Oryctolagus cuniculus: one gene and its partners. The protein of the gene in region 1 interacts with the protein of each later gene in a biochemical or structural test. Links are inferred from orthologs where the notes say so. Each region holds a gene or a part of one and is shown in the gene's direction. Other genes may lie near its edges.

The links.
Region 2: the proteins of DTL (region 1) and KMT5A form a complex in vitro, tested with the Homo sapiens proteins (2 studies listed by BioGRID, with this or other methods). The link is inferred for Oryctolagus cuniculus from reciprocal best matches to the Homo sapiens genes DTL and KMT5A.
Region 3: of the proteins of DTL (region 1) and CHEK1, one has a biochemical effect on the other in vitro, tested with the Homo sapiens proteins (2 studies listed by BioGRID). The link is inferred for Oryctolagus cuniculus from reciprocal best matches to the Homo sapiens genes DTL and CHEK1.

Annotation. Positions count from the first base shown.
Region 1 is NC_091444.1:26,552,112-26,556,310, forward strand, and holds the start of DTL (denticleless protein homolog), read left to right. Parts: upstream 1-1,345; 5' UTR 1,346-1,644; coding exon 1,645-1,696; intron 1,697-1,724; exon of another isoform or gene 1,725-1,859; intron 1,860-2,978; exon of another isoform or gene 2,979-3,051; intron 3,052-4,049; exon of another isoform or gene 4,050-4,071; coding exon of another isoform or gene 4,072-4,090; intron 4,091-4,199. Other genes in the region: INTS7 (integrator complex subunit 7), read right to left, coding at 1,095-1,188. UniProt on the Homo sapiens protein: Substrate-specific adapter of a DCX (DDB1-CUL4-X-box) E3 ubiquitin-protein ligase complex required for cell cycle control, DNA damage response and translesion DNA synthesis.
Region 2 is NC_091452.1:5,945,686-5,948,203, reverse strand, and holds part of KMT5A (N-lysine methyltransferase KMT5A), read left to right. Parts: coding exon 1-47; intron 48-2,019; coding exon 2,020-2,210; intron 2,211-2,518. UniProt on the Homo sapiens protein: Protein-lysine N-methyltransferase that monomethylates both histones and non-histone proteins. Specifically monomethylates 'Lys-20' of histone H4 (H4K20me1).
Region 3 is NC_091432.1:118,833,315-118,836,966, forward strand, and holds part of CHEK1 (serine/threonine-protein kinase Chk1), read left to right. Parts: intron 1-3,214; coding exon 3,215-3,403; intron 3,404-3,652. UniProt on the Homo sapiens protein: Serine/threonine-protein kinase which is required for checkpoint-mediated cell cycle arrest and activation of DNA repair in response to the presence of DNA damage or unreplicated DNA.

The DNA of each region.
Region 1 (4,199 bases):
GAAGAGGCTCCTGGCTCCTGGCTTCGGAGTGGTGCAGCTCTGCCCGTTGTGGCCAGTTGGGGAGTGAACCATCGGATGGAAGACTTTTCTCTCTCTTGGCCTCTCCTCTCTCTGTGTAACTCTTTCAATTAAATAAATAAATCTTAGGAAAAAAAAAAAGGATCCTTCTGACTTCCAGTCCAGTTCTATGATAATACACGGGCTACACATAATCCAATATTAAGTGTACATCAGCTGATAAAATACTTCCCCTATGCAACAGAAGTCCTTGAAGTATACTGAATCATAGGGTCCATGTTCATACTCGAGTTCTTCACTAATAAATATTCGCCTTGCCTCCTATATTCACATCTATACAGAAAAGCGTACCTCTTCAGCATTTAATAAATGCTTCTTTTGCATACAATTATATCACTTAATAATTACAAATCTCTCCAGCTCAGTGGCACTGGACCCACTTTGCAGACAGTAAGTCGAGGCTAGGTGCAGTTAGGTGACTCGTCCAAGATCCCAAAATGAGCAGAACTGAAATTCAACTCAGTAGAACCCCAAAGTTCCTTCTACTACGCCAAGCTGCCCCCTGTAAGGAAACCGAACTCATGCAACTTGTGTCCAGGGAATGAGCACAGGCCATGCTTTTCGGGTGATCTTGGTCATTTTTAACCTACCTTGTAACCCGCAGGCCACAGAGCTGCGGAAATCAAAGAGCTACAAAGTCAGTGCCAAAGTCGTGATGAAGACCTGGTCGCAACTGCAAGCACTCAAGAATATTTTCACAATTTCAACCTGGTGTTTTTAGGAACTAGCCACTTTCGCTGTTTGGAAAATCGGGGGACTGTGCCCTCAAGCGGTCAAAACGGGACCCCCACTAGAGCTCGCTGCTGGTTCAGCGGACGCAAAGTCCATCAGGCGACCCTGCAGTTCTCCTGCAGGATCCGGAGATCGCCAAAGCCCTGGCCCCAGAAAAGCTTAGGCGCCGCCCGCCCAGCGAGGCTGCGCGCATGCGCCTTCCCAGCCCCTCCAGAGGCTGCCACCACCTGGCGGCGCCACTTCCCCCACGCCCGGTCCCCCGCTCAGCCCGCTCTTTCGAATACCTTTGTCCAATTCCATAAGAGCAGAGTTAGCATCCAGTTCCTGTTCGCCATAGCCGGCATCTGCCAGGAATGACTTAGTTGAGTTTGACGCCATGACTCGAATAGTTACTCGACTAGCCCAGTCAGACAGATCACAAACTCTGCCCCAGCACCGCCATCTTCTCCTGCCGCCTTCTCGCGGATTTTTCCTCCGCGCTCTGTCAAGCCGTGCCACGCATGCGCCCCGGTCACCCCACGGTTCGCCGGCGCCTCTGCGGCCCCCCGCGCAGGCGCTCAGGGAGCTCCCGAACCCTAGGTTCCCGCGGCTGGGAGAAAAGGAGGCGGGGATTCCAAGGGGGAAGTGACTCTGAGACGGCCGGACGCCGCCCCGGGAGCCAATCAGAGCGTGTGACGTCAGTTTGGCGCGGAGTTTGGCGGCCGGGGCTCCCAGTGGCGGGAGTTGGAGGCAAAAACGAGTCGCGTTGCGAGGGGCGCAAGCTACGGCTTCTGCGGGGCTTGGGGGGGCGTTTTCACGGCTTTTCTCTCACTTGAGTCTCTTCCTTCGGCCCTCATGCTCTTCAATTCGGTGCTCCGCCAGCCCCAGCTTGGCGTTCTGAGGAATGGTGAGTAACGGTCTTCAACCGCTGCTGCTCGCTGGCGGGATTCCTCCCCCCAAACACACGCCGCCTTGGATCGGGGCCGACTCCAGCCCTAGGTCCCCGCTTTCGAGTTCTCCCACGGCGGGACGGGGTTGGTGTTCGCGAGGAGTGCCGAAGAAAGCGGGGCGTGCGTTCCTGCAGGACATTTTTGGTCGCGAACGGGCGTTTTGCATCGTGGTGTAGGCCGAGGGAAGGAGGGACGGAGGCCGGCCCTTATGGCTTACGTCTATATTGCGCGTTAACTGGGAAAGGCATGCCATGTGTTCTCTCAGCAGCTCCGTGAGACCGTCCAGGCTCGGATCCATTAGTTAGCCCGTTAGTTCGTGGTAGAACCCTAGAGAACCCCACTATTTGTGATCGCAGCGGACGTGAGCGCTGCGGAGGACCTCGATCGGGCAGAGAGGACAGGACATCTGCTCTCCGCCGGGTCGAAATGCAGCCTCCCCCCCTTTCCACACAGCCATAAAAATTCCGAACTGTAGCGTCCAAGATGCCCATAACCACGTCCCCCGGGGACGGCCGCGGTTAATAGGTTGAAGTATATTATTCTAGATTTGTTGGATGTCCGGAAAGAAATATTTTCAGAAATGAAATCAAAACGTTTTGTTTTTCTTTTTAGCAGCGTTAAGTTGTCCCTATTCCCGTGTCCGCCTGTAGAAATCCAGCTCATTTTCTGCAGTTCTCTAGGTTATAAGAGTTAAATCACTGGCACAAGGAGATTTGAGCTTAGGTTTGGGTATCATCGACCTGAAATTTTTGATACTTTTCTGAAATAGGGGTTAACTCTCTAGACTAACCCGGGACGGAAATGAAATCTCATTTTTTTTAGAAGTGTGCAATACCCAGAGGTCCCCCTGCCCATGGTAACCATGTGGAAAAGACAAAGATAAAGGAAAGACTGAGAAAGGAACTTTTTATTTAAGGAATGGGTCTCAAAATGGATGTTGATAAGACTGAAGAGTGATTGCCTGCACTTCCTGCTCCAGATCTAAAACTATCCTGCTTTCCCTCTTGCCTCTGAGCTAACCTTTGTGGTTGCACTCTAAATCCTTCTCTCTCTGTCTCTCCTAGGAACTTGCTGAACACCTCTCTGTCCTCTGTGTCTCGGAGGGCTGTGCAGCACGGTGGTTAAGAATGCGATTGTCTTTGGAGTTAACTGCCTGGGTTTTAATTACAACTCCACTCCTTACTTTTCGTGTGACCTGGGGCAAACTATTGAGCCTCTATTTTGTGACAGATTTTCTCCTAATTCTCCAATACATCTGTCTACTTTTTCTCCTTCCTCTCCTATTCACGAGTACTCATTCATTGTTAATGTGGTAAGCACTAAAATTCACTCATTATGTGTTGCCCATTTAAATATTCAGTTACCTTCTCCTTATCCTTAAATGTTAGTGTTCCATCCTTGGCCCCTTTTGCCTATTGCCATAGGTAATCACAGCCATAACTAGGACTTCTTAAACTAGTACGTATAACCTTTAATCTCCTACCTATATTTTAGATTCATTTCTAAAAAAGCTGTATGGGTTGTGCCCCCCCACTTTGTGGCTCCTGTGAGCACCTGAAATGCAAATTCCCAAAACCAAACATAATTTGCCTTCTGAACCTTCTGTGTGACCTACAGGAGTAGCCCCATTGTTTTAAAAGAGGAATTGGAATTTTTATCACAAGTTTAAATAGATGCTAAGAACATGATTTGTGGCTATATTGTGAGTACTGACATCTTAAAAATACTAACTCTTCTAAATTTATCTGGTAGAATGAATACTGATTTAATAATCACATCATCTGTTTAAAAATATGAATAAACTCTTCCTTAACTGCAGAATATTCTATGCAGTTGCTTTTTTCTCTTGAAGTTATTTCTACTGTATTTCTCCTACAGAACTTAACCTAATATAAGTTGTTGTATACTTGAAAAGTCCTTTTACTGATAATCCTGTCTTGTCCTTCTGTGTCCAAAAGTACATTTAAATTGCTGTTTTCTGTTATCATAATGCTTTAATGTTAAATGTTTCTCCTGGGTTTAATTTTCATTACAGTTTTTAGTATGTGATTGATAAAAACAATATATGATCAGTTTTGATGAATAATTATTAAAAAGTAACTTTTATTGAAATTACATGTTTTAAAGGTGGATTTGGGTGTTTGTGGTGCTATTCTTAAATAAATGATCCAGTTATCTCAGGTGGGATACCAGAAGGCTTTTGGTTTTACTTAAAAATATTTAATTGATACCTAGGAGTTTTTATACCTTGAGTCAGTGTAAGGTATATAGTTGGGAAATGGAGAATGCCTTTTTTTTTCTTTGTTAAAGGAAATGATGAAGGTAGAGAAAGATGTACCTCACCCTCTCAGGTCAGTTTTAGAAATGCATATATATGTATGTGTGTGTGTGTATGTATATATATGTGTGTGTGTGTGTGTGTGTGTGTATGTATATATGGAAATTAGTTCTCCAAAAACT
Region 2 (2,518 bases), on another chromosome or scaffold:
AAAGAATAGATGAATTGATCGAGAGCGGGAAGGAAGAAGGGATGAAGGTAAGGGTCGGCAGAGCCCGTGGGCGTGGCCGAGGGTGGGCGTGGCCGAGGCTGTCCACTCACAGCCGGCGTGGGGGGGCCGCCTGCGGCTTTGGCCACCAGTGTCGCAGGGACTGGTCAGGCTCCTGGGGTGTCAGAGAGCCAGGCACTCACACTGCCAAGGAGACGCTTGCTTCATGAAGGAAACATAAATGGGCTTTGTGCGTCCGTGTTACCCGGGGGGAAGGTTTTAAAGTCGTGGTGAAGTGCCCATAATAGAACACATGTCTTCTTAAAGTGGACACTTGTGTGTCATGGGGCGCAGTCAGGATGTTGTGTAACCATCACCATTACCCAGTTCCAGAACTTACCCTGCTCCCCTGCCAGCCCGGCACACTCTGGGCCCTGGATCTGTCCCCCGGTGCGTCCTGCCGCCTGAGCCACACAGTGTGGGTGTGCAGCTGGCCGGGTCCGGCTGCTTTGACTTATATCAAAGGGGAAACTGATACATTTGTCTTGAACTCTTGTCCTGCGCAATGGCAATCCCGAGTGACCCGCGCTCTGGGGAGAGGGGAGTAACTCTCCACTCTATGCTGGGGTGGCCTGGTGGGTCTGGACTTGGCCCTGGGCTCAGAAATCTTCAGTGCCCACCCCACAGCCCCAAAACGGAATCGGAGCTCAAGTCCCGGGCCCCTAAAGCCCCCGCCCTGACTCCATCTTGATGGAGCAAGGGGAGCTCTGGCAGGGAGTGAGGGGAGACTGGGACCCAGGCCCTGCACTTTTTTATTTTTCAAAGATTCATTTATTTATTTGAAGGCAGAGGCGGAGGCAGCGAGAGAGGTGTCTTCCATCTGGTGATTCACTCCCCAGATGGCTGCAATGGCCAGAGCTTTGTCAATCCAAAACCAGGGGTAGGTACAGGGGCCCAAGGACTTGGGCCATCTTCTGCTTTCCCAGGCCATAGCAGAGAGCTGGATGGGAAGAGGAGGAGCCGGGACTCGAACCGGTGCCCATATGGGATGCCGGCACTGCAGGCGGTAGCCTTACCTGCTGTGCCACAGCGCCAGCCCCCGGGCCCTGCTCTTGGCACTGGAACCTAAACGGCGAGGCCGAGGCTATGCGGTGCAGTTCCTGGCTCTGTGGCCTCAGCCACATGGCTGTGCTCTGTGAGCCCGGGTCTGCTGATCTGCAGCATTGGGGTAGCTCTGCCCTGGGGACCTCGTGCAGTGCCTGCACACGGGCACACTGGTGCTCCGGGACCCTGCACACGGGCACACGGGTGCCCCGGGACCCTGCACACGGGCACACGGGTGCCCCGGGACCCTGCACACGGGCACACGGGTGCCCCGGGACCCTGCACACGGGCACACGGGTGCCCCGGGACCCTGCACACGGGCACACTGGTGCCCCGGGACCCTGCACACGGGCACACTGGTGCCCCGGGACCCTGCACACGGGCACACTGGTGCTCCGGGACCCTGCACACGGGCACACTGGTGCCCTGGGACACAGGAGTTCTGAAGTTGGGGTGCGGCGGTGGCTGCACAGCTGTATCCACTCTTCAGTGTGGTTTGCTCCTGGGGCCAGTGTTGGGGCTTAGAGTGAAGTTGTTGCCTGCAACGCGATCATCCTGTGTGGGCGCCAGTTTGTGTCCCGGCTGCTCTGCTTCCGATCCGGCTCCCTGCTAGGGTCCTGGGAAAGCAGCGGAAGATGCTCCAAGTGCTTGGGCCCCTGCACCCGCGTGGGAGACCCGGATGGAGTTCCTGGCTTTGGCTTGGGTCAGCCCTGGTGTTTGGGGAATGAACCAGCAGGTGGAAGAGCTCTGTCTCTCCCTCTCTATCTGTAACTCTGCATTTCACGTAAATAAATGAATCCTGAAAATTTGAAAATAATAATAAGATAAAGCTTGCCCCTGGCGGGCCCCCAGGAAGGCCCGTGCCTTGCAGCCGCCACTGCTATTAAAAACCAATGCTCTCTCGCCGCCTCCTGGCAGATTGACCTCATCGACGGCAAAGGCAGGGGCGTAATTGCCACGAAGCAGTTCTCCCGGGGTGACTTTGTGGTGGAGTACCACGGCGACCTCATCGAGATCACCGATGCCAAGAAGCGCGAGGCTCTGTACGCCCAGGACCCCTCCACGGGCTGCTACATGTACTACTTCCAGTATCTGAGCAAAACCTACTGGTAAGTCCGCGGCTGCTTCGCGTGGCCGCCCCGCGCCCCGCCAGCCACGGGCCTGGGCTGATCGAGCTCTTTGTGGTTCGGCTTTGGGTGCAGTTCTTGCTGCCTGTCTCGGGGCTGTCTCCCTACTTCCTGTCTGGAAGCCCCGGGGTGGGAGGTGGGCTGGGGGCCGCCTCATCCAGCGAGAAGCAGAACTGGACCCGTCTCACACAGCCCTGCCCGGCAGCCCACCTGGCTGCTCTGTGTGGCCGCTAAGTGCTCCTGGCTGTGGCCAGCGGAGTTGACTTCTATCCATGGATCTAGTTCGTAAA
Region 3 (3,652 bases), on another chromosome or scaffold:
AAGTGTTAGATTGTAGAGTGAGAATTTTAAAAAGTAAAGAAATGTTAGCTATGTGAGGAAGAGATTTTTATTTTGTTTAATGCTGTAAACTAGCAAAAAGTCAGCTTTCAGAAATACTTATTAAATGAATGAACTTAGCAGATAAGAGAAGTGGGTCATATCTTTATTTTTTTATTTATTATGCTTTTAAGATTTATTTTATTTGAAAGGCAGAGTTACTGAGAGAAGAGGAGAGACAGAGAGAGGGATTGATCTTCCATCCACTGGTTCAGTCCATAAATGGCCACAACAGCTAGAACTGGGCCAGGCTGAGGCCAGGAGCCAGTGTCTTCCAGATTTCCCATGTGGTCACAGGGGCTGTCTTCTGCTGCCTTCCCAGGCATGTTAGCAGGGAGCTGGATTGCAAGTGGAGCAGCTAGGACTCGAACTATTGCCTATGGGATGTTGGCGCTGTAGATAGCAGCTTATCCTCCTTGGCCATAATGCTAACATGCCCCGCCCCCATCCCCTTTTTTCTTCTTTCTGTGTGTGTGTGTGTATATATACACATTATTTTTTATGGATCAAATCTATTAAGTTGCTTTTGGGATTGTTGACTCCCATGAATGGATCTGTTCAAAACTGGAATAGGTTGCTTTGGGATTTCATAACATCAGAGCCAAACACTAAGTAATTTTTCAAGGATGTTTTTAATTAATATTTATTTGAAAGGCAGGATTACAGAGTGGGAGAGGCAGAGAGAGAGAGGAGAGAGAGAGAGATTGAGCTTCCATCCACTGGTTCACTCCCCAAATAGCTACAATGGCCAGGGCTGGACCAGACTGAAGCCAAGAGCCTGGAGCATTTTCCAGGTCTCTCAGGTGGTTGCAGGGACCCAAGTACTTGGGCCATCTTCCGCTGCTTTCCCAGCGCATTAGCAGGGAGCTGGATCGGAAATAGAGCAGCTGGGTCTCAAACTGTTGCCCATATGAGATGCTGGCATCGCAGGCAGATGCTTAACTTGTTGCGCCACAGTGCCGGCACCAAAAAATTAATTATCAGGAATATTTAAAGATAATTTAAAAACTTGACTAATAGGACTAAGGTACTTTCAAGATCTTGTCCAACCATGTAATTTAGTTACTTAGCCTTCTGCTAGTTTTTTCATAAAGCTTTAAAAAATTTAAAAATAATCTTTTAAAAAATACACTTATCTTCTAATTCCACTTTTCTATGAACTGTGAACCAGTGGATGGAAGACCTCTCTCTCCCTCTCCCTCTCCCTCTCCCTCTCCCTCCCCTCCCCTCCCCTCCCCTCCCCTCCCCTCCCCCTTTCCCCTCTCTCTCTCTCTCTCTCTCTTCCTTTTTCTGTAGCTCTTTCAAATAAATAAACCTTTTTTAAAAAAAGTTACAGATAGCTATTTAAAGGATAGATCACTCTGGCTACCTCTGAAGTCAAATACAAGTAAATATCAGGATTACTTAAATATTATGTTGTGTGAATGTACTTGATTTTTTAAAGAATCAGTCCCCTATTTTGAGGCATTAACTTTCTAACTTAAATAGAATAGTGATTCCTCTTCTATATATTTGTGCACTGGTCCAGCACAAAAACTGAGTCATGTTATAATAAAAATTTGTTACAGCACTAGCCTTTTTCCTGGTTTATATCCCAAAATTCAATGGCAGTGAATGTGGATATATCTTGTGCTTTTTTTTTAAAGTAGCTACCTCCATAGTTTTCATTGTACACATTGTTATGAGATTAAATAGTCTTTTTACTGATGGATGTTTAAGTTATTTACCAATAGTATTGCTTTGAGTATCCTTGTGTTTGAATTTGTGGGATTGTTTCTGTGGATATGGTCTTAGAAGGGGAACGTGCTGGGGCTGGTGCCGTGGCTCATTTGGTTAATCCTCCGCCTGTGGCGCCAGCATCCCATATGGGTGCCAGGTTCTAGTCCCCGTTGCTCCTCTTCTGGTCCAGTTCTCTGCTGTGGCCTGGGAGGGCAGTGGAGGATGGTGCAAGTGCTTGGGCCCCTGCACCCACATGGGAGACCAGGAGGAAGCACCTGGCTCCTGGCTTTGGATCGGTGCTGCGTGCCAGCCGTAGTGGCCATTTAGGGGGTGAACCAATGGAAGGAAGGCCTTTCTCTGTCTCTCTCACTCTTCCTGTCTAATGAAAAAAAAAATGGAACGTGCTGACTCAAGGAATGAATATTCAAATTTTGACATCTTTTGCCATATGGCCTTCTAAAAAGGTTTTATCAGTTTTTATCATCTAAAAAGGTTTATAGATGGCTTTCCCTTACTTACGGGTCTGGGTTAGATCCTTATGATTTTCTGTATTTTCATAAACTTCATGATAATTATCTATTATCTTTTTCAATGATTTATCTACCACCTGCATTGGCTAATATAATATCTGTCATTTGGTTATAGTATTCATCAAGTGTAAATTAAGTTGAAAATCCTGACTGCGGTGTGCCTAATGTGTAACTGTTGTTTTCTTCCTGCCCTCCATGCTATGTGATGAAAGGCATTGCTCTACTTTCAGCTCATGTTTGGAATTTGGGAATGCTCTTTTCTAGAAACACAGCCCCCCCGCCCTTTAAAACATATTGATTTATTTATTTGAAAGGCAGAGTTACAGAGAGAGAAGGAGAGACAAAGATCTTCCATCCGCTGGTTCATTCCCCAAATGACCTCAACTACTGGGGCTGGGCCAAGCTGAAGCCAGGAGCCCAGTCTCCCATGTTGGTGGCAGTGGATCATGTACTTGGGCCATCTTCTTCTGTCCTCCCTGGCTCATTAGCAGGGAGCTGGATTGAAGGTGGAACAGCTAGGACTTGAACTGGTGCCCATACAGGATGCTGGTGCTATAAGCTGTGGCTTAACCTGCTATGCCATAGTGCTGGTCCCACATAGCCCCTGTGACTCCAACATTTTCCTTTAACTTAGTCTAAACTGTTGGTGTGTGTTGATACTTCTCTTAAGTTAATGGAAGAGATGAATCTGTTTCCTAACTTTGGTATAGGTGGTAATGCCTTTTACTTTTTCTTACATTTAAACATTTCTTTTTGTTTATTTTTTTCATCTAAGGTAGAGAATATTTTCATTTAAGGTAGAGAAAGTTCTATGAATTTTAAGTAACACGAGTGATTTTTCCAATAGAAATTAATTCCTTTATCTGTTTGCAAAATGTTCAATGTCATCCTTGTTTCTTTTTGTTTAGATAACCTCAAAATCTCCGACTTTGGCTTGGCCACAGTGTTTCGGCATAATAATCGTGAGCGTTTATTGAACAAGATGTGTGGTACATTACCTTATGTTGCTCCAGAGCTTCTGAAGAGAAAAGATTTTCATGCAGAACCAGTTGATGTTTGGTCCTGTGGAATAGTACTTACTGCAATGCTGGCTGGAGGTAAGACCATGGCAAATTCCTGTCCTAAGAAAAGTCAGATTTTTTTGCACTAAAATCAATTAAATAAACCAAGAGAGTCCATATTATAAATTTTTTGTTTTAAAAAATAATTGAGAGAAAGAGAAAGTATGCACTCACATCTACTGGTTCACTCTCTAAATGCCCAAAATAGCCAAGGCTGGACCAGAACTGAACCCAGAAGCCAGGAACTGAATCCAGGTTTCCCATGTGGCTAACAGGAATCCAATT